7 linked regions of the Danio rerio genome follow. The protein of the gene in region 1 interacts with the protein of each later gene in a biochemical or structural test. Links are inferred from orthologs where the notes say so. Each region holds a gene or a part of one and is shown in the gene's direction. Other genes may lie near its edges. The genes, in order: maptb, cdk5, rps6kb1a, cdk1, s100b, ptpa and abl1.

What was found.
Region 2: of the proteins of maptb (region 1) and cdk5, one has a biochemical effect on the other in vitro, tested with the Homo sapiens proteins (10 studies listed by BioGRID and IntAct, with this or other methods). The link is inferred for Danio rerio from reciprocal best matches to the Homo sapiens genes MAPT and CDK5.
Region 3: of the proteins of maptb (region 1) and rps6kb1a, one has a biochemical effect on the other in vitro, tested with the Homo sapiens proteins (2 studies listed by BioGRID and IntAct). The link is inferred for Danio rerio from reciprocal best matches to the Homo sapiens genes MAPT and RPS6KB1.
Region 4: of the proteins of maptb (region 1) and cdk1, one has a biochemical effect on the other in vitro, tested with the Homo sapiens proteins (2 studies listed by BioGRID). The link is inferred for Danio rerio from reciprocal best matches to the Homo sapiens genes MAPT and CDK1.
Region 5: the proteins of maptb (region 1) and s100b form a complex in vitro, tested with the Homo sapiens proteins (2 studies listed by BioGRID). The link is inferred for Danio rerio from reciprocal best matches to the Homo sapiens genes MAPT and S100B.
Region 6: of the proteins of maptb (region 1) and ptpa, one has a biochemical effect on the other in vitro, tested with the Homo sapiens proteins (2 studies listed by BioGRID). The link is inferred for Danio rerio from reciprocal best matches to the Homo sapiens genes MAPT and PTPA.
Region 7: of the proteins of maptb (region 1) and abl1, one has a biochemical effect on the other in vitro, tested with the Homo sapiens proteins (2 studies listed by BioGRID). The link is inferred for Danio rerio from reciprocal best matches to the Homo sapiens genes MAPT and ABL1.

What each region holds. Positions count from the first base shown.
Region 1 is NC_133178.1:20,914,292-20,918,153, reverse strand, and holds part of maptb (uncharacterized protein maptb), read left to right. Parts: intron 1-230; coding exon 231-254; intron 255-1,194; coding exon 1,195-2,403; intron 2,404-3,862. UniProt on the Homo sapiens protein: Promotes microtubule assembly and stability, and might be involved in the establishment and maintenance of neuronal polarity.
Region 2 is NC_133199.1:37,959,694-37,964,171, reverse strand, and holds the start of cdk5 (cyclin-dependent kinase 5), read left to right. Parts: upstream 1-1,507; 5' UTR 1,508-1,646; coding exon 1,647-1,683; intron 1,684-4,478. UniProt on the Homo sapiens protein: Proline-directed serine/threonine-protein kinase essential for neuronal cell cycle arrest and differentiation and may be involved in apoptotic cell death in neuronal diseases by triggering abortive cell cycle re-entry. Interacts with D1 and D3-type G1 cyclins.
Region 3 is NC_133185.1:33,095,747-33,099,608, reverse strand, and holds part of rps6kb1a (ribosomal protein S6 kinase beta-1), read left to right. Parts: intron 1-1,416; coding exon 1,417-1,524; intron 1,525-1,612; coding exon 1,613-1,675; intron 1,676-1,776; coding exon 1,777-1,854; intron 1,855-1,962; coding exon 1,963-2,070; intron 2,071-3,862. UniProt on the Homo sapiens protein: Serine/threonine-protein kinase that acts downstream of mTOR signaling in response to growth factors and nutrients to promote cell proliferation, cell growth and cell cycle progression.
Region 4 is NC_133192.1:22,204,060-22,207,738, forward strand, and holds the end of cdk1 (cyclin-dependent kinase 1), read left to right. Parts: intron 1-424; coding exon 425-588; intron 589-2,437; coding exon 2,438-2,579; intron 2,580-2,665; coding exon 2,666-2,779; 3' UTR 2,780-3,113; downstream 3,114-3,679. UniProt on the Homo sapiens protein: Plays a key role in the control of the eukaryotic cell cycle by modulating the centrosome cycle as well as mitotic onset; promotes G2-M transition via association with multiple interphase cyclins.
Region 5 is NC_133197.1:13,547,896-13,552,487, reverse strand, and holds the start of s100b (protein S100-B), read left to right. Parts: upstream 1-1,757; 5' UTR 1,758-1,789; intron 1,790-2,062; 5' UTR 2,063-2,093; coding exon 2,094-2,231; intron 2,232-4,592. UniProt on the Homo sapiens protein: Small zinc- and- and calcium-binding protein that is highly expressed in astrocytes and constitutes one of the most abundant soluble proteins in brain.
Region 6 is NC_133180.1:33,431,434-33,435,991, reverse strand, and holds the start of ptpa (serine/threonine-protein phosphatase 2A activator), read left to right. Parts: upstream 1-1,571; 5' UTR 1,572-1,630; coding exon 1,631-1,655; intron 1,656-3,408; coding exon 3,409-3,518; intron 3,519-4,558. UniProt on the Homo sapiens protein: PPIases accelerate the folding of proteins. It catalyzes the cis-trans isomerization of proline imidic peptide bonds in oligopeptides. Acts as a regulatory subunit for serine/threonine-protein phosphatase 2A (PP2A).
Region 7 is NC_133180.1:78,512,041-78,516,466, forward strand, and holds the start of abl1 (tyrosine-protein kinase ABL1), read left to right. Parts: upstream 1-1,397; 5' UTR 1,398-2,191; coding exon 2,192-2,327; intron 2,328-4,426. UniProt on the Homo sapiens protein: Non-receptor tyrosine-protein kinase that plays a role in many key processes linked to cell growth and survival such as cytoskeleton remodeling in response to extracellular stimuli, cell motility and adhesion, receptor endocytosis, autophagy, DNA damage response and apoptosis.

The sequences.
Region 1 (3,862 bases):
TTTTTTTTAAACTAATGAATCTTTGTTTACTGTGATTTATAGGTTAATATACCGCATCTGTCAGCTGCTCCTATACATTGAGCATGTTTAAATCACAGTATTTACCAAGGTGTACTAAGATCAACCTACTGAACTGGGCAATGAATTCTCAGCATTGTTGTTTATGTCCTCTGTATCCTATATGTTCTCTTAACTTGCTTCCATGTGATCACACAACTTTGACGTGTCAGGAAGGACAGCAGGAGCTGGAGAAGGTATGGTGGACCACCACCCCTTAATCCACCTGCAGCCTAAAAGTTCACAGGATCTACATGTAGACAAATATGCATTGGCCCCATAAACCACCACAAATCATTCACTGCTTGCGCAAACATGCAAAAAATAAAAATAAAAATAAAAATAAAATAAAAACTCAAACATGAGATCTCAAAGGGGATCACTTTATATTTGTTCCAATTAAATGCGTTTATACTGGCTCTATATTGCATCACTGTATCTGAGAAACTAAATGTTTCAGAATAATGAGGCTTTCAAGTAGTTATTATTAAATGCATTAAAAGTGCTTCAAATGCATTCACAGCACAATGCAAAACATGCATTTTACTGCTCAGATCAGATCCAAAAGGTCTATCTGTGCATCAAATGATATTTGCAAGTGGATAGTGCACCAAATCATTGCTTTGCTGGTCATTTTGCTATCAGTTATAAGTGCTTTACACACTGAAGCTCACAGAGATGTTATGGTCCATTGTGGTCTGATTGGCCAGTATATATTGTTTTATTGTTGTTGTTGTGAATGAATGAGTGAAAAGGCACTTTTATAAGCACTGATCTCATAGCCCCTTGACCCTACTGTTCCGATCTCTCATTTTGCCCCTTTAGTTGCCTGTTTTTACAAACAGTTTTGCTTGGTAATACAGATTAGCAAGCATTGCATACATAAAAGTGCTTTTAACTCAAAGTTTAGTGTGTACAACAGATTTTTGGATTGTTTAACTGCCATGAAAACAGACTTGTGTTCTGTGTTGTGTTCAAGCTCCTTATGTGGTTCTGTGCTTTTAGTTCCTTTAAGTTCCTTGATTCCTTTTCTTTCTCTGCTTCTAATGTTGACTGTTGAGAGAGGGTGGTTGAGTGTTGCTAATTCTGCAGTGTTGTCTGTGGCTGTTCCTATAATTCTGCCTTCCACGTCATCAGAAGCCTTAACACCCGGAAGTCCGCCAAAGAGTGGCCGGAGCAGTGCGGCATCAGTGGATGGGGAGGGAGAGCGGGAGAATGGGGAAAGGGAGAGCTCTGTGAGCCCACGGGAGTCTCCAGTGTCGCCACATCCACTCCCGGTAACCCTTGCTGATGGCCTGAGCTCAGGGATCACAGGCTTTGACAGCCAGATGAAGAGAAGTCCTTCGGATAAGATGTCCGACCATCATAGTCCCAGTGGATCTGAAGAGGAGGAACATGAAATGGAGAAATCTGAAAGAAGATTTTCTGGTTCACCTGGATTTGGAGCAGATCCTAGAAGCACTATCAACTTGAAAGAGAATGAAAATGAGGACAAAGAAGTGAGTGAAGTCAGTGATGAAGAAGAGGAACAAACGGGAGTTTCCTTAGTGAGCAGTTCTATCACCCCAGACTTGACAACCCAGAAAGAGGATGAACATGAAACCCCTATTCACCTTCCCATGACCCCAGAAGAAGCTAAGAAACGCGGCCTGTCGTTCGACTACACAGAACCTCAGGATCCTGGTCATCCGCATGGTCCTGTGGGCTGGGAGTGCAGCTCTGATAAAACACCACCGGAAAGCAAGAGCCCAGACTCCTGCAGGGCAGATCCGGGATCACCTCTTACACCCAGTGCTGCCGCTGACCAGACCCAAGAGGAATCATCTCTAAGGGACTTTCAGACAGATACGCAAGAGGAAGAAGAGGAAATAGAGGTACCAGAACAAGAAGAGGAAGAGACCCCAGTTCCTCCATTTTCCCGAGAAGTTGCTACACCAAAGATGGAGCTTAAGGCAGAGGAACATCTAGATTCTAATAAAACAAAGGAGGTCAGTCAGGAGAAATACCTGGAGACGAGTGATGATGACGAAGTAGAAACTGAAAAGGTTAAATCTGTTGCCACACCAGAACCTGTTGTCATACCAGAAAATGCTGCCATACCAGAACCTGTTGCCATACTAGAACCTGTTGTCACTAAAGCTAAAGATGCTGTTAAGCCCAGTGCCGAAGTCCCGCCAACAAAACCACCAAGCAAAGCAGCTCTTGTCAAAGAAGCTCCAGCCAAAAAAACGAAAAAACCCGTAGCTACAGTTTCTGCCACTCCTTCCCCCAAAACTGCTCCTAGCCTTCAGAAAACTCCCTCTAAAGATGCTGCTCCGGCCAGAAAAGCAAGTGTCCCATCCAAAGGTCTGTTTTTCTCTTCTGTCCTTCCAAACCCCACACAGATCTTTTAATTTCCTCTTCCCTTTTCTTCTTTTAAAGTAGATCAGTAGAACTTCGCAGCACCCTTTCTGAAAAGCGCACACTCAAATGAGAACGTGTTCGGTTGAAGAAACGGGCTGCTTGTAGCCACAAAATCTCTCTCTCTCTTTTGATCCTCTGTGCCCTGTGTGTCTGTCTTTTCTCCTTCCCTTTCTGTGTGTGGTCAGTGTTATTCTGCTTTTGTCTGTGACTAACTTTCTGCATTGTGCGTTATTGCTGGCACAGTCTTCACCTGCCCCTTTGTATTGCATGTCACCTGTGCATGAATGTTGAATGTATCACTCACAAAACTGTGCAATTCTTTTGTGGGTATACCCTTATTCCAGATGTGTCCATTTTTTGAAACATTCAAATGGACTCAAAGACCCAAGCTTATGGGGTTTGTCTAGAACACGTTTTGAAAGGAGAAGGTCAGCATTTGCTGTAGGGTTCAAGACAAACGTACTCTAAACGTCCCCTGCAGTTGTGCAGACCTCTCTTATAAAGTATCAGACAAAATCACCTAATATTGTGATGTATTCATTACTGCAGGCCATCACTAGGCAATTTAGCAAGCCAAGTTTGCAAGGCACCACAATTGATACACTATTTCTGAATCATTGCACAAATGTCAATTTTCAATATTAACAAACAAACCAAATAACAAACAAAGAAAATATGCATTTTACTTCATCTTTTATATTTTCAAACATTCAAATCTGACACTGATGATGACATGCTCAAAAAAATTGCTGCTTGTTCAAACTACTTATTTAAAATGAGCGGAAACAACCCACTTCTTGAGATTTCATTAGGACAACTTAATTGTTTTATGTTGATTTAACTTAATTCCTTTATGTTGTCCAAACACAAATTGATACCAAATTGCAGTAAGTGTTCTGTCTCAAATGATTTTGCATATTGAAATGCAGTTGGTCTTGCATAATTCCTATATAAAAAATTTAAATGTCGTCTCTTACTTATAAATATTGCATTAACCACTGCATTTGCTAAGAAAGTGCCAACTTTGGTGTAGTTTCTTGGTGTTGGAAGCCAAAAAAGTGTATTCATGACGATAACAATAACAGCTCTGATGGCACATTTTATTAAAGTTGAAGATTAAGCTAAAAACTCTAACACTACTCTTTTGCTGCCTTGCAAGCACTGGTTTTTAATTCAATACAAGAAAAAGTGACTGTTTGTCCCTGTACAAGGTTAAAATACTCTTCATTCGCTTTACTCTCTGTAATAATAAAACAAGGTACTCTGCAAATCAAACGATGCCAAAAAGCCTTTTAAGAAACAAGTTCAGAAGTTCATCAGAGATTCAAAATTTCTGTCATCACTTTACTGGATTGATCAATTCATGCAGAATTCACAATATATCCCTAAGAAAAGCTAGATT
Region 2 (4,478 bases), on another chromosome or scaffold:
TGAGCAAAGGAGGATTGTATGCAGAACTCATAAAGAGACAACGATCTAATGGACATAAATAAAATACTGTACTTAGTATATGTCACTACAAGTTATTTTGAACACAGAAATTCATTTGGTGCTCTGTCATATTGTAGCATATTGAATTTTTTTTAAAAGAAAGTTCTGTGTGTTTAGTTTTATCATCATTGTAAAATCAGTGTTGGTAAACAGTTTTTAAATAGTGTTTTTATTTCCCTAAACTCCAGACTGAAAGTATTTGAACCTTTTCTTTTTTAAATGAAAAGATTTTAGTGAGATGAAATGTACATTTTATTTTGAAAAATGTATCTGTTAATATCATTGTGTTGATAATCTTGTTTTCCTTGAAAATTAAGGTATAATAAAATTAAATATATTCTTCTGCATTCACATTGGTTACCATTTCCATTTTTAAATTACACACAAGTAATTAGAGATATTAAATATTTTATTTAGAATGCTTTTTTTAATTACTGTTGATATTGTTATACTAACGTGTTTAATTATTTAAATTAAATTAACAATAAAGAAGAGCATAGATTTGATCAGCTTTAGCATCGATTTTTACTAATTAACATTTCTCTTTTTTTTTTGTTATTTAGAGGTTTAGATTTAAATATTTTAATACTGAAGTATTTACTTATTTAATTTATTGTAGCATTGAGTAAGAGCATAGGTTAGATACGTTTTATTAGCATATATTCTTTTACTAATTGACATTTCTTCCTAAATTTTTTTGTCTAGTTTTTCGAAATATTATACATTTTTAGACAACAGAATACCACCATTTTAACAATGTTAGATCTTATGCGACACAGTGTTGTAAACGCGCTAGTAAATGTCAAAAATGTTGACACTTTATTGTAACATTTGTTTTAAGAGACATGATTATGAAAATAACATCATGATAAAAGATAAAAATTAATTTGGGTGTTATCGGAAAGTAAAAAGAACATTTTAAAGGAGTTAATACTTCGACCAGAAGTATTTGCACACAGACTTTTATTTCCAGCCAGCCAGCCCCAGGGCTTCCAGTGAGCTGTCTTTCCATTATAACTATCGCCACGTTTTTTATCTGATTTCTTTAAAAATCTTTTTTTTTTTACTGCCTGGTTGAGATAAAAAGTGGGTCTCAGACCAGACAAGAAGCACTGAATCAATTCAATTTTCCTCTGCCATGTCTTTTAAATAAAACTGTTTATTTTACCTCAGTATTTTTCAATTGAGTTTCAGCGCTCACCTGCTAATCCTGATTGTGCTAGCGGTTATATAGTCTTATCTTGTTTTACACTTGAACAACTAAATGAAAGCTTAAGTCTATTTAACTGAATGTATTTTAATGACATTGCAACATATATGCTGTAAAAGGAACCGTATGGCATTAAAAATAGTCATATAAAGCTTTCACCGGAAGTTTATGATTGGCTGCAGCTAAACCCGATCTGGTACTTTTATTTTGAAGCGCGTCTCAGCGGGTCGCCATCTTGTAGCTCTGCTCTCTTCATGTTGCGTACTACGCCCCTTGTTGATAAAAAACGACATTAATCAGCGGTACAATTAAACCCCTGCTTATTAATTCGTAGAAAAAACGAGCAGCCAGGACGTTTTAATAACTGGCTGAAACCATGCAAAAGTATGAGAAGCTGGAGAAGATAGGAGAGGGTGAGTAAAGCACTGTCTGGCCTGAATGTCTGAAGCTAACGATAAATTGGAGATTTATTTATACACCACTAACAATAACGAAGGTTTGTTGTCATAAGACGTCAACCGTCTGTCAATCTGCAAAGCATTTGTGCCTTTATGTGCTTGTGTACTGAAGCCTAAAAGTCTTAATCTGTGGAGATCGAGCTCATTTTGATGCAGCTGGCTTTGAATCGGATAAATCAGCACACCTTTCACACCTGCTAAATGACATTATCGCTGTTATTGAGAGAAATAGAGCTGGTAAAGTGATGATTTGTTATCCCGTTGATTGATATTTCATTTTAGCAACATTAACAGGGTTTTCTTTGATCCAGCAAATGCTGGTAGCCATGATGAAACGTAAAGTGTGTTTTCCTCTAGGGGGCGCGCGAGGGCTTAAAATAGGCTTTTCTCCTTTTGAGTTGTATTTACATCATAAAACAATATTTAGATTTTTTTTGTGAAGAGTCCTGTAATGAAAAGTTACCAATAGAAATATATGAATAAATATGGGTCAAATATTTCAATTAAATAAAACCAACCATTCAATCATATACGACAGTGATTGGTCTGCACTGATATTTGATGAGAAGGGTAATATATACCACGTGGTTCAAAAGGTTAAAAGTTACAATTATTTTAATAATTCTTTATAATAATTTCTACACAATTTAAATGACAGTTTTTATCAGGTTGCGAATCACAGGGAAGTTTGGGGAGATAGACCCCCCTAATTGACCACTGAAGAAGGTCAAAACAAGATGTATAGGGGGATCAGTTCTTTAACACTGAGAAATATTTCACTCTAATCTGTATTTTAAATAATAATGTTAATAATTAAAATAATAGATAATATAAATATAGATTTGACCACCCCTATAATGGTTCAAACCATTGTTAATGCATAATTGCGCCAATCAATTGCATCTATTTAAGAAGAAAGTCTTAAAGCGGCAGATCTAGAGCACCAATAGACATCATGTTCACCACACTTTGTTTTCTCATAAAAAAGATGTTGTATCTATATTTAGCCTGAAAATAAAATCAAATTCGATGCATTGTTTGTAGTTTAACCTTCAGTAACATCTGAAACAGCTAATCAGAGAATACTGTCGATCAGAATACACTAAATATCCCTCAAAACGCTGAAAGCTTAAATGCATTTTATCAATAAGCTAGATGTAATTAAAAATATTTTTTATTTATGTATTTGACATGGACATCACAATTACACTGGACAACCAAATGCATTTGTTTAAGTGTTTTAGCAAACTTGCTAATTCTCAACACCTGTCCACAGGAGGCTTAAAATTGACAAAATAGAAATATAATAAAACATACATAACATTACATTTCTTTACATAAAATTACTGCAGGAAAAAGCAAAGGCGACATGATCCAACTAACTAACGATAGACTATTTGTGCAAACACTGCTGTTTTGTTTTTATCCACTTTTTAAGAGCACTACTAAAAATATTTAGATTACTTTCTGCTTTAAAACTAACCGGTAAATCATAATATATTAACATTATTATTATTAGCATACATAAATTACTGAAGCGTGTATTACACAAACTAACAACTGACAAGCAGTTGAGCCTCCTGGTCGTCAATGTATAATTTGCACAGTTCTTTATCCCCCTAAACCACGCATTTGTTTTATTTTTATTTAACAGTTGTTCTGCGATAAATGTAAAATATGGTGATTATTATGATCATATATTTGTCATCTATATACATATTAGAAGGACATTTTTAATTTTGTAGAGAGTTGTGTGATAAAAAGTTACTAATAGAATTATATGAGTTAATATGGGTCACATTCAATCGAATAATACTAACCAATCAATCATAAAACGACAGTGATTGGTCTGCACTGATATTTGATGAAAGGGGTAACATACCATGTGGTTCACAAGGTTGAAAGTTACAATTATTTTTATAATTCTTTAGCATAATTTCTACTCAATTTAAATGAGTTTTTATCAGTGTGCAAATTACAGGAGAGTTTGGGGCGTTTGATGTGATTGGTAACGTGTACCGCCATTATTTAGTTTTTTTTTTACATAATTAACATCAAATTGAAATGGCAGTACAGGGTTCAACGCTATAGATTTTTTCTACAGGTCCGATCGGGCCAGTGGTTCAGATTTTTACTTGCCCTGGCAAAATTTTCACTGGCCCCACCAAAAAAAGGGAAGTTAATAGCTATTTTTTGCCACGTTTTAAATAATGTGTCAAAAAAAAAGTCTGTGAATCTACAATTTTAATACTTAAAATAAATTGTAAATAAAAGTGTTATGCAAACAAAAAGAGCAGTACAGAAAATGTTAACAAAAGGTGGCCGACTTGTCAAACTGGCGGCAAACTGTGCAAAACATCACTTCATTTTTATTTTGTCGTGTTCGTCACACGTAAATGTCTACTTCCAAGACTTTAGAAACAGACATTTTCTTTTAGCCTTATAATTTGATGTTGCCGCCATGTTGCCGTTTCTTCGCTGTACTGGTTTTTAACAGGTTACAGAAACAAAATATCATGGTCAATCAGATAAGAGGAACCGGAAAGCAATATGGTGTTTATGACATCACAGAGAAGGTAGTGTTTAAAAACCTAAAAGCACAAAATTAAAATGCACATGATTTACATAGTCGCAGACAAATTAAATGTTAGTGACATCCGGTCTACTGTCCCAAGTGTCTCTCAAGCTGGCCCTGGGCCACCGGGCATGTCCTTATTGTTGAGCCTTGCAGTATTTATCTACTAAAGCAC
Region 3 (3,862 bases), on another chromosome or scaffold:
AATAGAAAAGAAAAAAGAGAATGAAATCAAGAAAGGGGAAGTACAATATTAAATGAAAAAACACAGAAAGCATTAAAGACTAACTTGCTGGAAGCATGATATTTTCATAAGTTTCTATTAACTTGCAAAATTGTTGTTAGATAAACCTATACCTTTAAGCAATTAATCAATTATAATTTAAAAAAATGTGCAAATGAGGGAGAGGATTTAAGACATTTTTGTTTGTGGATAAAGAATTTCGCATAAAATATAAGAAAATATATAAATATATTCTTCATTTTTATTTTTGGGACTAGAATAATAACAATTAATATCTTTCATTTTAAAGATTTGTTTTTTTGATTGTGATTTATTCAAATAATTATGTAAATCTGACCAAAACTTTTGTGAGATTTTAAATGTAAAAAAACACGTGAGTGAAAGTTTCCTCACTTTCCTGACAGAGAGAGCAAGTATCTGCAATATCAGTTAATTCTGAGATAAATGCATTGACTGGGTATATTTTGTGAAGAATTTTAAAATGAATTTTCTTTGCTTTGGGATTACATATTTCTATGGGAGAAGTCATGGCTGAAGTCGTGGCTGTTTATGCCCCATTGACTTCCATTATATTGATATTTTTTTATTCCAAAGTCTTGACACCATATAATCATGCATTTTTGATTGTTGGTGGTTTTCCCTGTTGGGAAGAGGTAAAAATTGTCATTTTCACTGTTGATCATCAGTTGGCAGCATTAAACCTTTAAATAGGCCTGGGCAAAAAAAAGTCTTGCTGTTATATAGAGTTCTATGGAGTAAAACAACAGATTATAGTGTGCGTGTATAAATATACTTACTATGATTACTTTGCCCTGAGAGCAGGGGTGCTTATTTAGATTCTCTCTGACATATCAAGGTAAGTGGGAAGGAAAGGTCTCACAGTAACAGACACACACTATACTCAAGATAAAAGCCAGAAACTTACATTTTTTTGTACTGCAACTGATGATCAACAGCAAAAAATAAAAAATTTGTCTCTTCGCAACAAGGACGCATGCATGATTGTAGGGTGTCATGGCTTTGCAATCAAATAATGTCATTATAATGGAAGTCAACGGGGCAAAAACAACCACTAACATAACGAAAGAGTAGTCAATTTCCCCAGAATGTGTTAACTTTTTGAACATTTTCAAAGCATTTACCCAAAATATGTGTCAAAAATCGTACCATTTGCTGAAACGCAAAGAAACTTGTGGGCAAAGTAGAAGTTAAAATCAGCCCAGAGTAGATGAAAACAATCCTGACAGCACACAAGGGGTAAAAACAAAGTAAACTTTATTGTGAATATTTTAAATATCTCAAGGAGTTGTACAGGGAATACAAACTTAAGTTTACCCCGACTGCATGCTCTTAACATTTAAACCCTTTTACTTTCAGCCCCCGTTCACAGCGGAGAATCGGAAAAAGACCATTGACAAAATCCTGAAGTGCAAACTAAACCTTCCACCGTACCTCACCCAAGAGGCTCGAGACCTCCTCAAAAAGGTAAATCAGTCAATCAGCTTTAGCGAGATATTCAGTCTTATTGCTTAATTAAACTGAGTTTGTGTGTGTGCCTGCTATTTGCATCCAGTTGCTGAAGAGAAATGCATCGGTACGGATTGGAGCAAGTCCTAGAGATGTTCTAGACATCCAGGTATCTGCTTTTCTGATACTTTGAATCTATTAATCATGCATACCTGACATTTACATATATAATGGAGTGTTCTGTATTTTTAAAAGAGCATTTGTTTTTAGCGCCACTCTTTCTTCAGACACATAAACTGGGATGATCTGCTGGCATTCAAAATTGATCCTCCATTCAAACCCTTTTTGGTAGGATCAACTCTCTGCAGATTTCTCTTATTGCTAATAGTCATGTGTTGTGTATGTTGTAATATGTTGTGTTGGATCACATTGCCTCACAGATATATGTTTTTGCAGCAATCCGCAGATGATGTTAGCCAGTTTGACTCAAAGTTCACTAGTCAGACTCCCGTGGACAGCCCTGATGACACGAAGCTCAGTGAAAGCGACAACCAAGTCTTCCTGGTGAGTCTGTGGTACTTTTTAGGCTAAATTTATCTCCGTGTCAACACTATACCTCTGTCGTGTCTCCAGCTGAGTTGCATTTATGTTTGTGCAATCATCAGATCATTTATCTAGAATGGATTTGAGCAGTAGGATGTGTATGTTAGATCAAAGATGTAGTTAAACTGTGATGTTTTCTATTTCTAAACATTTTCAAATTTGATTTATTTCCATGATGATGAATTTGAATATTCTACATAAATTCTCCAGTCTTCAGAGTCACATAATTCTTCATAAATGTTTCTAACGTGCTAATTTGTTTCCCAAGAAATATGGAAAACTTGAAATTTAAATAATTTGTAGCAATTTAATTGTCCTAACCTACTTACTCCCAGGGCCATTTTATATTGAAGTTGATATTTAGCCTCACCATGTTGGTGTTTGGTAGCATCTAGTTTTTATGAAGTGGGTTGTTAGCCCAATGGTCAACCCCCAACCTGGAGGAGCATGGCATACACGCATACACTACATGGGAGACACACTACATACAAACTCCACGCAGAAATGCCAACTGATCCAGCCGGTGCTCGAACCAGCAACCTTCTTGCTGTGAGGTGACAGTGATGTCCACTGCGCCACCGTTTCACCTCAATTTAATTGTCTTTACTTTACGTTATTTTTTTATTTTTTTGAAAATGTAGTTTTTATTGGTTTCCTCTTAATATAACATACAGTACCATACAAAATGCACACAATTTTTTTCACAGTTTAGAAAAATAAACTGTTAAAAAATTAGAAAAAATAATTAGGAAAACAGTAAGAGATGCATAAAGATGATACTAAAGAGCACAACAGGGTAAACACGTTTGTTGTTTAGGTGAAGAAATGAAATTCTCCCATAGATCAACTTTCTTATCAGTGTGTCTTTAAATGTCTTAAATCTCAAAAACAAAATTGTAGGCCTTAAAACATCCTAAACCTACTCACATTATGTGTTGTGGGTCTTAAATCTTTTTTTAACAGGTCTTAATTTTCCTTTGTCCATGTATAGCTACCCAATCAAGGCCATTAACACCCATCCACTCACCAACAATTCATTTCAATAAAACTTTTAACTTTTTGTTTAACTCTATTTACCATGATGGTTGAATTCATTTCCTTTATTTACTGCTGAGGAAGCTGACCTGGACAGATTGTTGTGCATACATAGTTTTTTATAGTTTTTTTAAACCTTCAAAACATTAATATATATATATATATATATTTAAGAAAGGTTATGTTGAAATAATGTGTATGTATACAAATAGAGCTTGCTTGCTTTGACACAATATTTAAAATATTTAACTCAGATTTAACTCAAATATTATTGCATTTATTCAATTAATTAAAAAAAAGTTTGATAGGGCAAATAAACATTTTTTTCCAACTGAGCCATTCGACAAAATCCTTAGCATTTAGCTAATGCTAATGCTAGATAAGTCTAAAATTTAATTCATAATGGTCTTAAAAATGTCTTTAAATGTCTTAAATTTAACCTGTAGAAACCCTACTTATGACTGCCATTCATTTGGGCTAACGACACATTCTCAGTCATTAATTCCATTCATAATTTAAGTAAAGAGCATTGTCTTTCCAAAACCTCAGTATTATACATGCTGCTATAGTTATGCCAACAGTTAAAAGGGAGAACTCGTAACTCAATATGTGGAACTTCAGTTTTATCACCTAAAAGACATATCCTGGGTGAGAGGGGAATATTAAATCCCAGGCCTTCATCTAAATGTCTTAACACAGGTTGCCAAAAAGGTTGAAT
Region 4 (3,679 bases), on another chromosome or scaffold:
ATAACCTATATATTAAAAGATAAATGCAAGGTTTTTGAGGGAGATCTTTCAAATTGTTTAGTTGTACTTTTTTAAATTAACTTTATCATATATTGTACCTATAATGTGGCTATTTCACACAGTCTCTCTCATTAACTAGCTTTTACTAACGCAATGTGTAAAGTGTTTTATCGTCACTTTATAATAATTTAGCAATTTAGGGTGTTTATTTTAAATATGAATATACAATACACAATTATTATTTTTTTGTTATAGCTGTTAGAAGTACTTTTTTACAGCTTTGGTCTATCATGATACAGCTTCAGCAGTTAATCGCAACAAGAAAATTTGATACTGGCAGAAGCCTAATACCAGTTGATGATACTTGCTCAAAATGTTATAATCACTAATGCTGACGTGTGTGCGCATGATTATGATTGTGCAGGTGGTCACTCTGTGGTACAGAGCTCCAGAAGTGCTGCTGGGGGCTTCACGCTATTCCACACCTGTAGATCTCTGGAGTATTGGCACCATCTTTGCTGAACTCGCCACCAAGAAACCTCTCTTCCATGGAGACTCCGAAATAGACCAACTCTTTAGGATCTTCAGGTAGACAAAGTTCAGGAATCAGTGTTGACATTTATTTATTTATTTATTTTTTATTTTATTTTTTTTTAACAGAGTTTTAAAAGTATAAAAGAAGTTTGAAAAGGTCAATTAGGGCTGTACTTGGTAACAAACTTATTTGCTCGTGTTAAACTGCACAGACATTAGGGTACAATATTGTATTTATAGTACAACATGTATTCTCTATGATAATATAATTGTTGTATTAGCGCACGTGTGAACATGTTTGAAAACCTTGAAATAGACATTCTCTTTTCTCTCTTACTCATGAAAACAATAATAAGTAAGGGAATATATTAGTAATTTTATAAAAGGGGAAATTATAACAGTAAGAGAAAACTTATAAAATGATAAAGTAACAATAAAGAAATGGTAACAATATTAAAAATGGTAACATTAACAAATAACCAAATAGCTAAAATTAAATCATGAACTAATGGACGATTAATGATAAAATAATCAAATAACATATCTAAATGACAGATAATTATAGATGATTTAATTAAAATATGTATAAATAAAAATAAAATTGAAAATAAAAGAAAGAAAATAAAATGCAACACTAATGTGTAGTTCCTTTCCTGAAGCAACATACACTAGTTCCAATAAACCTCCTCTGATTCTTTGTAGAACTTTTTTAGGAGGTTTTATTATTATCATTTGTAGTAGTTGTTGTTGTAGTTGTATTTTGCTAAGAGTTTTTAGAAGAAGAAAAAAAAAGTAAAATCCCAAAATGGGTCTTTTTTTTTTTTTTTTTTTTTTTTTTTTTTTTTTGTCAATGAAACTGGACCAAGCTTACATGGCATTAAAAATCAACAAATATTTATCTACATGCACATATTATTTTGATATTTGACACTAAGAACACTGATCAATAATCATTTTAACTTAATATAGTCAATATAACAATAGCAAATAACAAATAATAGCATTTTCCAGAAGTCCACTAGAAATCGATACTAACCATATGACTTTGTTTGCTCACATTGCAAGTTTTTTAGTGAACAGTTAATCTGTGCATATCATTATTTAAAAAAAATAGTTTGACCTTATCTTTAATTAAAATCTGAAAATGCACTTCGTTTTTCTTTTTTTTCTCTTCTCTTCAGTTAAATTGTCTGATTATATATATCTTAAGTATTGGGCATAGCTTTAACCACGCTGCTCCAACTGTCAGTTTTGACAACAAATGGTGAGGATGAGGTGTCTGTTAGGTAGTAATAACTCTCTTCTAAAACCCATTTCCAGATCTTTCTGTATGAAATGCTTATTTTATTACATCTACTCCGCTTGAAGCAACAATAAGTGAAGTTTCACAAACAAATTTCGAGAGGAGCACGTGATGTGATTGATCGCAGCTGGTCTCTCATCTACAATCATTAGTTAGCAAATCAGATTAATCCAAACTTACTATAAGTAGGCCAGCAAAAAAATACTTCCTTATCTTCCTTTTTTCAAAGAAACCCCCCCCCCCATCCACCCCTTCTCCCCCTTTCCTCCTTTACCACGGGGAGCTATCGAGAACCACCTGATCTCGTACTCCCCTTACATGCTCTATCGACCAGGCGGGAGCCCTGGGCTCAGTTATTGCTGAGCTCAGGGTTCTTTCCTGGGACAGCATGCCAAACCTGCTATCATTGTCAAACAATATCTAAGTGTGAACTCTTGAAAACAAAAATATGATTGCAGCTTCTGGTTCATATGGACTTACTGGCATACAAATAAAATATGGCTTTAATGTAGTTTTGTAAACTGGAATGCAAACATTTCACTAAAAATATAGTATTTTTCTTTTTTTGTCTTCCCTCTCTGTGGTTGATCTGTGTTTTAGGACTCTGGGGACCCCTAACAATGAGGTCTGGCCAGATGTTGAGTCTCTGCCAGACTATAAGAATACCTTCCCAAAGTGGAAATCTGGGAATCTGGCCAACACTGTGAAAAACCTGGACAAGAATGGCATCGACCTTCTCATGGTAAAAGACTGTCCTGATATGCTTGTGTCCTACTTGTTTCTTTGTGTTCATCTCACTCACGTATTTTCATTTTCTCCTTTGTTTAGAAAATGCTGATTTATGACCCCCCTAAGAGGATTTCGGCACGACAAGCAATGACACATCCGTATTTTGACGATTTGGATAAGAGCAGTCTTCCAGCCAGCAACCTAAAGATATAAACACAAACACATGCATACTAAAGCAAGCAATGTGAGCGTAGGGCTCACGGTGAATTCTGGGAGTTCAGAGAGCCCGGAGATGTAGATTTACTCCTCCAACCTGCAGTAATGCAATCCGAGTCTTTTGACACGCAATAATCAACCTTCAGTTTGTTTGTTTGTCAACTGGGTGGTTTTTCCTAATTTTGTTTGTTTTTTGTATGTCTTTTTCTATCCTGTTATATGTTACATAATACCCCTTGTAAATAAAGCGTGTATTTTTTGTCGACCTGAAGTGGTATATAAAAAGAATAAATTAAGGTGTTCCCAATTAAGAGCACTTTGTAGGATCCCATTTTGGGCCGATGTCTTTATCTACACTAATGCAGATATTTTTACATTGTGTTTAAAGTGGGTGTTTTTCTAGAGATGCTCAAAATTATTACAAACAATTATATATTTAAGATGTTTACATGTACATGTTATTTTGATCTTTTAAAGGCACAAAGAACACTGATCAAAAATCATTTTTAAATTGCTTCTATTTTGTTTTACTTGATAATGACAAAAACACGTAGTAATTGATAACATTTTCCAAAAGTGCCAGATAAACATACTGGCATACAAATAAAATATGTCTTTTATGAAATTTTAAAAGACGCACAAAATGCTAATTATCGTGGTTAATAGTATTATGCAATATCTGTGGTGCAGAGAAGTGTGATGAATGGATTTCTTTATGCCAAGCATTTGTGTGTTGCAAATTACCTCCAATTAAATACACAATTAAGAGTAACTCATTTTCTGATGACGTGACCCATGTTGTTTAATCTCGAGCCCTGTCACAAACACAGCTTGTTTTAAGCCAGCCTATGCTTGATGAAGTTCCAACGAAAACTCTTGTGCTGGTGATCCTAATGT
Region 5 (4,592 bases), on another chromosome or scaffold:
CTTATGGCCATAAAACCAGATTACGGTATAGAAAAGAGGATTACTTCGAAACATCACAATACAAGGCTTAAGCTTCTGAAATTGAAAAACAACAATAAACTGATCATTAAATTGAACTTATTATACAGAAACACATTTTTCGACTCTACAAAAAGTTATGTTTTGCATATCAGAATAGAAAGGGAAAAATATATAAAAGTATATGAAGAGTTTATGAAGAGTACATTAAAATATAAAAAGTTCATTAGCAAAAATAGAAAAGTATTTTTCATAAATATAAAAGATGATTTTTGAAAATTAATAAAAACAGAGGTATCTGTTTTTTTTTTTTTTGGCAAATTAACTCTTTATATTTACTTATAACCTAAAGTGAGAGGACAAGACAAACTTTATGTTTAGATAAAATGATTTTATTTGGAAAACACAATTAAAGGACAATGAATCATCAAAAAAGGGTTGTTCAAACAATAAGAACACTTAATACGATATTTATAAAACTGAAAAACAACAAGCTGCTAAACACATTAATCATAAAACAAAGCTTTTTACTATTAAAGAATTAAATTGTTAAAATAGAAAAGGAAAACAACTAAACATTTGAAGAATCCATTTGCAAAAACCTTTGCAACAAAAAAATGAATAAAAACTGAGTTCTGTTTTTGCATATAAACTCGTATAGCTTGCTTATGGCCTGAAAAAAAATTTATGTATTGAGAACAGACTGAAAGGACTGAATAAAACATTAAATAAAAGAATAAACAGCCTGATCTCACGAGAAAACGTAAGTATTTTAGGTTTTGTGAGTTTAGTGGCTAATTCAAACGGATTCGTACGAGTTCAGTAATACGAAATTGTGTGATTTTAAAAAGGAGGCGTGGCACCCAACCCCTAAACCCAACCTTCATTGTGCGATGAGCAAATCATATGAAATTGTACAAATTAGATTCAAAAATCAAAAAGTTATGAATTGCCATGAGATTGTGTTGGAATAAACCTGTTTGGAAACAGTAAGATTTGTTAACATTTTATGTGTGCTAAGAATTATTATTTAGAACTTTATTTTTTTATCGAAGTATCCCCATATGTAAAATATATCACATTTTCTACAATACATGAAGACAAGAAAATTCATCACTAATAATTGTACGAAATCCTTATTAGTGATTGTGTACCAATAGCTGATCATAACAGAACAGCAAATCATCATATTATATCATATTTCCAAAGGATCATGTGACACTAAAGACAAGTAATGATGATGGAAAGTCAGCTTTGAATCACAGGAATAAATCTAATTTACAACTACAATCAATAAGGAAACAGTTTTTTTTTAATTGTAATATTATTTCACAATTATTACTGTGTTTTCCATCAAATAAATGCAGCCTTTGTGCACAGAATTGGCTACTTTAAATGATTACTTTGAAATGAAAATCATGAAAGGACAATAAAATACTGATAAAACAATAAATACACTTAATATAAATTCTAATATTAAGCTAAAATGGCATAAAACTAATTAATTATTACAGTAAAAGTTTATGCATGTTATAGCAGAAGTCGCAAGTGTAACACTATGAGTGTGTGTGTGTGTGTGAATATATTCACCCCTTTGTTCTGGACTTTAAATGTGTGTCTAGTGGAGTGAGAACAAGTTAAGAAGCTGATTGGTCAGATCCAGTGATTGACAGCACAGAATCTCAAATCTCCAAGCTCCTCCTTTTCAGACCTATAAATGGACTCTCATCTCCCTCTGCAGAATCGCCTCTTTCTGACAAACTCTCTGCTGGTAAGTCTAGTACGTTTTTATTTATCATTCCAATGTTTTTAAAGCTTATTTTGCTCCAAGCTTTTCCAAACTGAGGATGAAATTGCAAAAAAAAAAAAAAAAAAAACTACATAATGACTAGAAATGTGTTTGCAAAAGTGAAAGACAGAACGAAACTTAATGGTCTATAAAATTGCTCCGACACTTAAACTTGTTTGCAGACATTTGAGGGAAAAAGTTAAACAGCTTGAAATTGCTATCAAGCATTTTTCACATTTTTAGTAATTATTCCAGGAAACGTTGAGCGTCGCTGCAGCACATTAAGATGTCAGACTTAGAGAACTGCCTGGGAACCATCATTGAAGTCTTCCACAAATACTCGTCGAAAGAAGGAGACAAGTACAAATTAAAAAAGAGTGAACTCAAGGAGCTGCTCACGCATGAGTTTCCAACTCTCACTGAGGTAATTTTTTTTGTTTTTGATTCGAAAACTTGGGAATATGTGTTTTATAATAAAGTGATTGTCAGAACTGTGTAAAAAAATCTTTGTTTGCTAGTTATTGTGTTAAAAAGTGTAAAATTTATACTAATTTATTATGATCATGCCTAATGAACAACTCTGGAATTAATGTTTCTTTACAAAGTCGACCAGAAGGTAACAAATTACTGGTGTCAAATTGTAAAATTTATGGAAAGAAAATCACGTAATGACAATAATGAACTGATAATGTTCAAGTTATGTAGATTTAATGGTTGTGTTTTTTATTTTTTTTATATATATAAAAAGATATACCGAAGAATGTTGGGAGAAAAATGCTATTGACTTTCATAGTATGTTTTGTTCCTACTATCGATGTTAATGGCAATATTCCAACATTTTTCAAATTATCTTTAAGTTTCAGACTACTGTCAAGCTGTCAAACTATTCTTCAAGCTGTCAAACTATTTTTTAAGTTGTCAAACTATTCTTTAATTTGCCAAACTACTCTTCAAACTAACTTATAGTGTTCAACAGAAGACAAAAACTCATAAAAGTTTAGAACCACGCGAGTTAAATTGACATTTTTGGGTGATGTGTCCCTTTGAATATCCACTCATGCTTGATTTTTCAACTTTTATTAAGGTAAAGATATTTTTCACTGTACACTTTTTAAAAATTGTGTAAATAGAAGAAAAATGGGTGTCAAAATATTACATATTGACAGTTTACAACAGAAAAAAGTACACACATCTATACTTAAAGGGATATTTCACCCCCCCAAAAAATAATTTACTCTCTATTTACTCACCCTCAAGTTGTTCCAGACCTTTTATGAGACTCTTTATTCTGATGAACACAAAAGAAGACATCGTGAAGAATGCTGAAAACCTGTAACCATTGACTTCCACAGAATTTGCTTTTCCTACTATGGAAATCAATGGTTACGACTTTACAGTTTTCTTCAAAATACTTTTGTGTTTAATAGAGGAAAGAAACTCTAACCCTTAATTTGTGGGTGAAATATTCCTTTATTGAAAAATGACCTACAATTAATGTTTCTGTACAAGGTAGACAAATTATGAAAGCGAAACAAGATGAAGTACTGTACAAAGAATATTCAAGGAATGTTTTGGCAAATTTCGGAAGCACTAAATTAATCGAGTGTCTGCGTAGTTTCAGACTTGTATTGAGGTCAACGTTTTTGTTTTTTCACACTACACTGTCTTGAAATATTAGGAATGCTTGATTAGTTATCACAGCTTTATCCCAGCATTGTGTCAGTTGTGAAAAAATGATTTCTACTAGGCATAGGACAATAACTGGTTTGCCTTGGTTTGAAAAAGTCAAGGTTTTAAAACCGCTAAGATTTTCTGTTATACCGTTCCTAAGGTATATGTCAGGGTTGTTTAGTGTATTTTTTCTGTGTTTTTTAAAATTGAAGACTGCAGAAGTCAATGATTTATTTGAACTATTTAGCCTGACTTTTGCTTTTCCAAAATATTATAAATGTTTCCTAAAATAAAATATACTGTGTTCAGATTTTTAGTTTTACCCAAACATTTAAAATTAACTTATTTTAGAGCAGTTATCACAATACTGTGATACTGTAAAACCCTGGTATTTTTATCCTGTCAGAAACTTATACCGCCCCATGCCTAATATCTACACAGATTTATTGTGTTTGTGAATCTTTCCATGGTACTTAAATTTAGTGTATTTGTGGGTAATAAATGAGACCTTACAATGAATGTTTTCTCTCATAAAAAAACAGAAAGCCAAACTTTAAGAATTTTAAAATGAACATACAATAATAAAATATACAATAATAAACTCATGAAGTAAAGTGTGGGCGAACTGATAAAACATTACTTTTTTTTACTAAAACCTTTCTTTTTCCCAAACTATACTTAGTTTTGAAAAATTAGCAGCGCCTTGTTTGTAATTATGCCAAGTTGTTTGTCAGTTGGTTTGAAATTATGTGAATTGGTTTGTAATTATGCTGAAATTGTGTCAATTGCAAGTGTCTACAAACATTTGTTGTGTTTGTGACTGTTTCCAATGTACACAAATCTGGTCTGATCATGCTTAATGAACATTGAGGGTTTCTTCACATGATAAATACACAAGGTGAACAAATGTCAGAAAGTCAAAGTATTTTAAAATAAATAAAAAAAATATATATAAGAGTGAAATTGAGTGTGGACGAATGAAACATGGATCTAGGAGCTGCATAGCACACACATGTATATCTGACTTTTAATAAAGTATTTTTTTTCACACACATCTTCCTAAAAATTTTCAATCAAAGCTTTATTTTAGAATTAATAATAATAATAATAATAA
Region 6 (4,558 bases), on another chromosome or scaffold:
AAAATTGTTTTAAGAAATAAGAATGAAATTTGCAAACAAAAAAGAACTGCAAATAAAAATCAAGCAGTGCAAAAACACTAAAATATTTCCAATTTAAAAAAACAACTCTATATATTTGCAAAACATTTTATAGCATTGCCTTTACAAAACCCGTCCAGTCATTTGCAATGCTCATTTTGATTTGCTTGTTAGTCAACCATAAGTTTGCAAAGCGGTTTTCACTTTGCACATCACGCTTCTGCGCGTTTCACTCATAGACTGTGGTTTCACTTTGTGGCCCTGATTTGACAAGGGGCGGAGTCAAGGGAACTTGAGCGTTTACAGCAGACCTGGAAACAATGTACCACCATAGTGTACTACCAAAGTGGTCTTACAGCCCAGGTCTGGGCCCTATATTTTAGCCTATGGTCTGGGCCTGCCATAAACACCCAAGTTCCCTTGTATAGTTTGTTTTTGTAAAGGCATTGCTATAAAAATATTTTACAAAAAAATATATTTTTTTAATTGCAAATATTTTAATTTTTGTGCACTGCTTGATTTTTTTTTGCAGTTTTTTTTGTTTGCAAATTTAATTTTTATTTCTGAAAATTAATTTTCCCTTTTGCAATTCTTTACATTTGTTTGCAAAATTTATTTTTATTTCTTCTTTGCTTTGGAAATTTGCATTTATTAATACTTTATTTGCATTTACTCAATACTTTATTTTTTCTTTGCAAAACTTTATTTTATTTTGCAAGTATATATGGCCCTAGATTGACTCCATAATAATGGGTCATAGATGGAAATAGAACATTTTGAGTGCAGTGGGCTACCTTTGGTCTTCATTTGACTGGCAATAAGGATTGTTTTGTTATGCAAACCTGGCAACCCTGTTACCTGCCTCATCTCTTCTCATCTTTTGCTTCATCTTTCTACTGAAAGATCGATAGGTTTCACTGATAATCTGAAATAGAATCTATTTCTATACATAAAGAAGATACTCTGAAGTAATTTTCACAGTAAACTGTTCAAAACAATACTTAACGTAAGTAAAAGTCTGCATTCCAAGGTCCAGAATACCGTACATTTTCCATTAAAACTACTAAATATATATATATATATATATATATATATATATATATATATATATATATATATATATATATATATATATATATATATATATATATATATATATATATATATGTGTGTGTGTGTGTGTGTGTGTGTGTGTGTGTGTGTGTGTGTGTGTGTATGTATGTTACACACTATATATATTTTTACAAATTCCCCTATCTATTTGGAATCGACAATGCAACGTTGTAGCAGCTATTTTTTTCCACATAAATGTACATGGAGATACATGGTAATAGAAAAATATTAATAACCTTTTACAGTTTTTGTAGAGATAATATATATTTTTAAATGTTTACAAAAATAAATAAAAATACGCAGTTTAGAAAATCTAATGCGATTCCTAAACTTAAAACCGAAGTCACAAATTAAGTATTATATAAAATTATATGGGTTTCAGAAACAGGCACTTTTTTTCTCGCAGCAGTTTACTTTCGCTGATCAAGTTCAAGGAATATATTTGAGGCGAAACTGCGGGTGAGAGTTGAAGGGTTGTGTTTTCATCACCACAGTAAACATGGCGGAGACAGAACAGGCGTCAGGTAACTCACATCAATCAAATCTTCAATTAAACAGAGCTAATTCAAACGCAGAGACCGCAGTGATATGTGGAGATTATAAATGTCGATGTGCAGCACTTGAAGGGACGAAAGGGACTTTACTTGTGCAGAAAAGCGCTTTACTATGGTTCGCCGCGCCTCATGTAATGAATCGATGAGAGTCTGTCACTTCTGCTCGATGGCGAATATTTAGGTTATTACGACTTAAATGTGAACAGTTATTATCAATTTTAGTTTTAAGGTTGTGTAATATATATTTTAGCCACATTTAATCCTTTACTGATCGAGTATTATACTTGGTTAACCCATATGGTAATAAAGAAAAGCATCAAGGTTTCTCAGTTTTAAAAAGTAGGCTGTAACTTACTAATTTACGTTGTTAGCTTCTGTGTATTCATAACCTTTGTCTCTGATAGTGTAACATTAATGAGAGAACAGTTTGTTTGCATTGCCAATTAGGTCACACTACAGAACTTGCAGCCTAGACATTTAATTGGATATTTATTTGTATGCCAGTCTAGTGACACGGTGTTTTGCCATTAAGTTACCAGTTAAAACCCATAAAACGACCAATGTGTAACGTAAATTGATTGACATTTTAGTTTAGTAAACGAGTTGCTAATGCTTACGCTTCCTGTGTACTATTTTTAACATCGAGGCTAAAAAGCTCTTGTCCCTAATGACAAAAAAATCAATTACAGCAGCACATCTCTCTGACATAGGGTAAAAACATTTCCTGAGAAATTGTAATGAAGTGTTGAATCTTTCATGAACACTTTCCTTTCAATTGTCAAAGAACATAATTGTGTGACATTGACAATGAAATAGACTTATCTTGTTTTTTTTTTTGTGATAAAAACTTGATCTGACATAGCCAAAGAAGCTGAATTGTCAATAAACTCAAAATTCTCTCTCCCTCTCTTCTTGTGATGAAAATGACCTAAATCACCTTATCATGGCTAGGCATGGGCTGGTATAAGATTCTGACGGTATGATAAACTTGGATGAAAATATCACAGTTTCATGGTATCATGGTATTGTGATCACTGCTCTAAAACAAGTTATTTTTAAACGTCTGGGTTAGGGGGTTTCGAACACAAATTATGTTTTGAGAATCATTTAAAATATTTTGCAAGAGTACACATGTCCTACTAAAGAATTTAAATGAGTCAGTGACTCATCTTCTTTAGTTTCAAAAGCACAGACGTCTTTACAACTTGAATAAGACATCCTTGGATATCTTTTTTTTCTGTTGTCCAAAAAATAAAGCAAAAACAAAAACACGAAAAAAAAGAGCTGTCATAAACCATAGAAACTATTTAACAGAAAGTTTTTGCAAATTTAAAACCTTGACTTTTCCAAACTGCAAAATACATTGAAACCCATGTTTAATCATGGCTCTTTTCTATGGTTTATAGAGCATAATGATGACTTATATATTTCTTTTATAATATGGATATTGCAGTGGCCAGTTTGACAAAAACAACGGAAACCTCTTAAATATGGCAAGTGTTCTTATCATTTTGACCAGCACTCTGTAACCTAATATTTTGATCATTCAAATTATGATTATTATGATTCTAATATGAAAATTATCAAGTTAACTACTTTTATATATATATATATATATATATATATTAGTATTATACATCTATGATACAGGATGTATAGAATTAATATTTTTGGTTTGAATAAAAAAAACTGGATGTGCTCTTGATATTTTTGTTTCTCACAGGCTCCTCCCATGAGGATGACAAACCTCCCAGTTCTGTCGGTTTCAACTTCATGGTGCCAAAGAAGGAGATCAGCATGGTGCCTGATATGGGCAAATGGAAAAGATCACAGGTATGTTGTTCAACCAACTCTGAAGTTAGTTTATCTGCTGCCTTGAGAGATGGGAAAATAGCCCATTTTCAAGCTCTTTCTCTGGTTTCCCTGGAGTTTAAGGATAATAATAGGAAGCTCTATTGTTTGACACACTTTTCTGCAGCTGGTTGCAGCAGCCACACCATTATGTTTTAAAGAGGCAGTTCTGAAGGATACAATTCAAGAGAAGCTCTCTATAAGTCACTTCTGTTGTTTTTATTTTTTTATACTTGGCATGTTTAAAATGCAGAAATGAAAATCCATGACCTAAAAAGAATGGCTTATTCCTATTCCAGACTTGCGTTGTTGACTTGCATGGGTAAGCCTGTTGAAATCATGCAACCAAATAAGTTCAACCCAAAAGTTTCTAACCTACCATCAATCTTGAGGGTTTTAAAATAGTGCTTTTAACATTCACAATCCCCATTTAATATGTCATGTACACATTGCTAGAACCAGATTGGACACCCATTTTCAACTAGGTTAATGGAAACGTGCCTCTTACATTTTTATCCATATTGATATGAAGGCTTATCAATTAGATTTGTTGGCTGCACATCTGGGATGTGAGTTTCCTCTTCCAGCACATCCAAAAGGTGCTCGATTGGATTGAGATCTGATGACTGTGGAGGAAGTTTAAGTTTATTGAACTCACAGTGATGTTTAAGAAACCAGTTTGAGGTGATTTAGGCTTTGTGACACACTATATTGCTAGAAGTAGCCATCATTAGATGGACACAGTGGTCATATAGGGATGGAGGCGGCCAGCAACTATGATCAGATAGGATTGTATTTAAACTAGGAATGCTGCAATGTGCTGTATAATATTGAATTGTTTGGTACTAACATGGTTCAAAACACATGTGGATATTGCATTAAGATTTACAAATTGTAGTTTAAAATGCATGTTTATGTGCTAAAACATAGCTCCCCCCGCTATAACATCTTATTCCTGCTGTCTGCGTTTTTAATCTTAATCAGTCAACAAAAGAGAATGAAATCACTCACTCTGCTCTTGA
Region 7 (4,426 bases), on another chromosome or scaffold:
TTTGTTATAACACCCAAAGCGTGTGTGTGCGTGTGCGTGTGTGTGTGTGTGTGTGTGTGTGTGTGTGTGTGTGTGTGTGTGTGTGTGTGTGTGTGTGTGTGTGTGTGTGTGTGTGTTGATCATTCTCTCAACCTGAAGAGTGCTGGAGAAACACACATTGACTTTCATCGTCTTTATTCCTGCTATTGAAGGCAGCGGCAGCATTCTTCAGAGTATCTTATTTTGTATTCGACAGAAGAAACCCATAGGTGTTTAGAAGCAGAGCAAATGAGGATTAGGGTGGAACGGTGGCTCAGTGGTGTCGCACTGTGTGCTCACAGCAAGAAGGTCTCTGGTTTGAGTCTCGGCTGGGTCAGTTGGTGTTTCTGTGTGGAGTTTGCATGTTCTCCCCGTGTTGGTGAGGGTTTCCTCCGGGTGCTCCGGTTTCCCCCACAGTCCAAACACATGCGCTATAGGGGAACTGATCAACTACACTGGCTGTAGTGTATGAGTGTGTGTGTGTGAATGAGTGTGTATGGGTGTTTCCCAGCCCTGGGTTGCAACTGAAAGGGCATCCGCTGTGTAAAACACATGCTGGAATAGTTGGTGATTCATTTCACTATGGCGACCTCTGATATATAAGGGACTAAGATGAATTAAAATGAAAGTAGATCTCTATTTCTGTGTGAACTGACCCCTTAAGTGTGTTTCTGACGCTGCTCTGTGTGTTTATTCCACCAGGGGGCTTCAGTGATCACACAACTACAACTATAGAGCAACGCTTCTGCAACCTTCAGCAGTAATGCACTTATTATAAAGAGCAGATTTATTTAATTGCTGTAAATTATAACCGTATAATTATGTATTTATGTGCTGACATTATGATGTGCTTTAATCAATGATGGTTGTTTTTAAATGTGCTATGTAAATACAATCGAATTTAATATAGTTGTATAATAATATATACTAATAGAATAAATATTATTGATATTTAAGACAGTAAAACTCAACGCTGTTGCATCAAATTAAAGCTATTTTGGAGTTTGTTGAAGTATTTTTGTATTAATAGATTATTGAAATAAATATCAATCAGGTATAATTTAGTATGATTCAGAATGATGTTATATTAATATATAATATTATTTAATAATATTGTTGAATTAGAGAATCATAAGTCATATACACTTTAAGTTTGAAGTCTTTAATTAGGAATGTTAAAGAGAGCATTAATCTTACAGTTTTGTATAATATATGTTTTCTGCGTACAGGAACCGCAGCGTTTTTATTTTTAACTGTTTATTATTATTTATTCATATTAGAGACAACAACAATAGGTAAACACTTCTTACAAGGCGTTCACATCAAAACAAAATACAAGTTTTCGCTTGTTGGCGGAAGAGCGCGGCGCGTGACGTCACGGGCGCAGCTCGCGTGCGCGAACATGGCGGTTCCTGCGACGACGAACGACGCGAAGAAAAGTGCTGGAAGTTATGAAATATTACTAAAACATGACGAGAACCAGCATTAAAACACTGCGGGGGAACCGAGCGGGTGTCCGGTGAGCAGAAGAGCCCGACAGCGGAGACACGCGGCGGGTAGAGGAGCGTTTAAATCCGCCTCAGAGAGAGAGAAGTGCACGCGGAAGTGACGAGACTTTACCAACTAACCAGAACTCAACACCACAGCCAAAGGCAAGAGTTAAATCTGCACAGAAGAGCCTGGAGGGCTTCAGTGAGATCCACACACTTTATTCATGACTTTAATGAGCATCAGGAGATACAAACACGGTCTCATCTGCTTACTGAATGACACCACGATCACACCAAACGCGTTTACTGCACTCCCAGACTCTTCCAGTGGCTAATAATTATCATAATAACTCTAATAATGATGATCATTGAGAGTTTCACGCACACCAGAGCGTCTGAGTTCATCACTGACCCCTCTGATGTGCTGATATCTTCTCCTTTGAGAGTTTGATGTTGACGTGACGTCAGAATGATTGACAGCTCGTCAGCAGTGATGTTCATGCATTAATGCTGACTCTGTGAATGAGGATGACTCCTTCATACATCCCACAGTGCCTTAGAAACACTTCTAACCTCTAGAAGGCGGGGATCTGATCTGCGGTCAGGCTGGCACATGCATGACTGGCACAGGGGAGTGTGTGTTTTCAGGCTCCTCCAGCTGATCTCCTGCGCTGTGTGTTCTTATGGGGCAGCAGCCAGGAAAGTTAGTGGGTGAGCAGAGGAGACCGAGCCTGCCGGCACTGCCCTTCATCAAGGCCGCGGGGAGGAGAGAGACGCCCCGGCACGGAGCACCGCACTGCAATGTGTTCACGGTCCACGGTCAGTGCCAGATCCAGCACACCACATTCACTCATCACTCAAGGGGGCAGTTCACTCACGAATGATCAGTAGGGAACATTTAGGATCAGGGGGAGGCCAAGCCAGCCTGAGATCCCCGAGGCTCTGCAGTGGTTGTGGAAATTATAAATTGAACCAAAGCAATTATAATTGGGTTAAGATTGGCTATGACAATTCTGGAAAACCAGCAGAGCCTTGGAATTAATAATACAATTAATAACATTGAGGCCTTGATCACACTGAATGCACTTTTAATGGTGCGAGGTGCCTTTTTTGAATGGTTATAAATTGGTTGTGAGTGTTTGTGCACTGCTTAGGGGCCGTTCACACAGAATGCATTTTCTTTCTGTATAGTGCACTACTATACTATTGTTTTTCAATGTAAACACACGCTTGACGTACGTGTCTGACTGCTACGTTGCATCTTTTGAAGCATCTCGTTTTTTTAAACGCCATGTCTGGTTGAGAGGTCTTCGACTTTCACACACAGCACAGTCAGTTCCACAGCAGTGGACCAATCAGAAGAGTGCTTGGGTGTTGCAAGCTTCAGTTTATAGTAGAAAGTTGGCATGATAACTCTTATTTAGCTTTATGGCAGAGGAGGCGCTCATTCTGGCTGTGTCCAGATTAGGCATGGGACGATATCCGTGTTCAATGTGTACCGTGGTTTTGAAAAGTCAGGGTTTTAAATTCGTCAAAATTTAAAAGATAAATATTTTAAAGATTTTTTATTTACATTTTTTTTTAGGACAACAGTATCTCCAGCAGTAAAGATCTCCAAAGACACTGTTTTAAATAGTAAAGAAATCAGTGCTTTTGAAACTAATGAAGACAGCAGAAGTCAATAATTCACGTTTACTGCTCCAAAATACTTGAAATGTTTCTCAAATTGAAATAAATTGTGTACAAAGAGGAAAAAAGTTTTCTATCCCGACTTTTAAAAAGAATATATTTTAGATAGGAGTTTCAAAATTAATTGTTTCTTCAGTCCACCACGAAGCAAATGCAGACAATTCAGAACATCAGAAAGATCCAGCTAACTCTATCAAGCCTCTTCAGCTGCTCCAGAACGCAGCAGCACGAGTGGTCTTTAATGAAGCTAAAAGAGCACATGTCACTCCGCTGCTCATCCGTTTGCACTGGCTGCCAGTTGCTGCTCGCATCAAATTCAAAGCTCTGATGTTTGCTTACAAAGCGACTTCTGGCTTTGCTCCTTCTTATCTGCTCTCACTTCTGCAGATGTATGTGCCCTCCAGAAACTTGCGTTCTGTGAATGAACGTCGCCTCGTGGTTCCATCCCAAAGAGGGAAGACATCACTTTCCCGAACTCTCACGCTCAATTTGCCCAGTTGGTGGAATGAACTCCCTAACTGCATCAGAACAGCAGAGTCACTCGCTGTCTTCAAAAAACCACTAAAAACTCAACTATTTAGCCTTCACTTCCCTTCCTAATCTGCAAGTGCCTCTCTGGATATAACGCTAACTGTACTAAAAAATAAATAATAATAATAATAATAAATACTAATGCTTTCCTTCTTATACTTTACAGACCTGAAACTTGCCTACAGCACTTATTCATTGTTGCTCTTATAGTTGTGTAAATTGCTTCCTTGTCCTCATTTGTAAGTCTCTTTGAATAAAAGCGTCTGCTAAATGTAAATGTAAAATTTGGTATCGGTTGAGTAATAATCATAACCGCTTACTATATACTGATGTCATTTATCTCATTTGCACTATGTTTTGTAGCTTACTATGGCGAGGGAGGCGAGCGCGAGTATTTACTACGCTCCAACTACTTAAAAACGCAGAAACTGTGCACAAATTTGACTGCGTGTGTGTTTGCTGGACAGTTTCCCTGACACTTACAGCAGAAGCTCCATTTCACTGCCATTGAGAGAATGAAAGTAAACTCCATTTCTCTCTCTCTCTCTCTCTCTCTCTCTCTCTCACTCTCTCTCTCTCTCTCTCTCTCTCTCTCTCTCACTCTCTCTCTCTCTCTCTCACTCTCTGTCTCTCTCTCTCACTCTCTCTCTCTCTCTCTCTCTCTCTCTCTCTCTCTCTCTCACTCTCTCTCTCTCTCT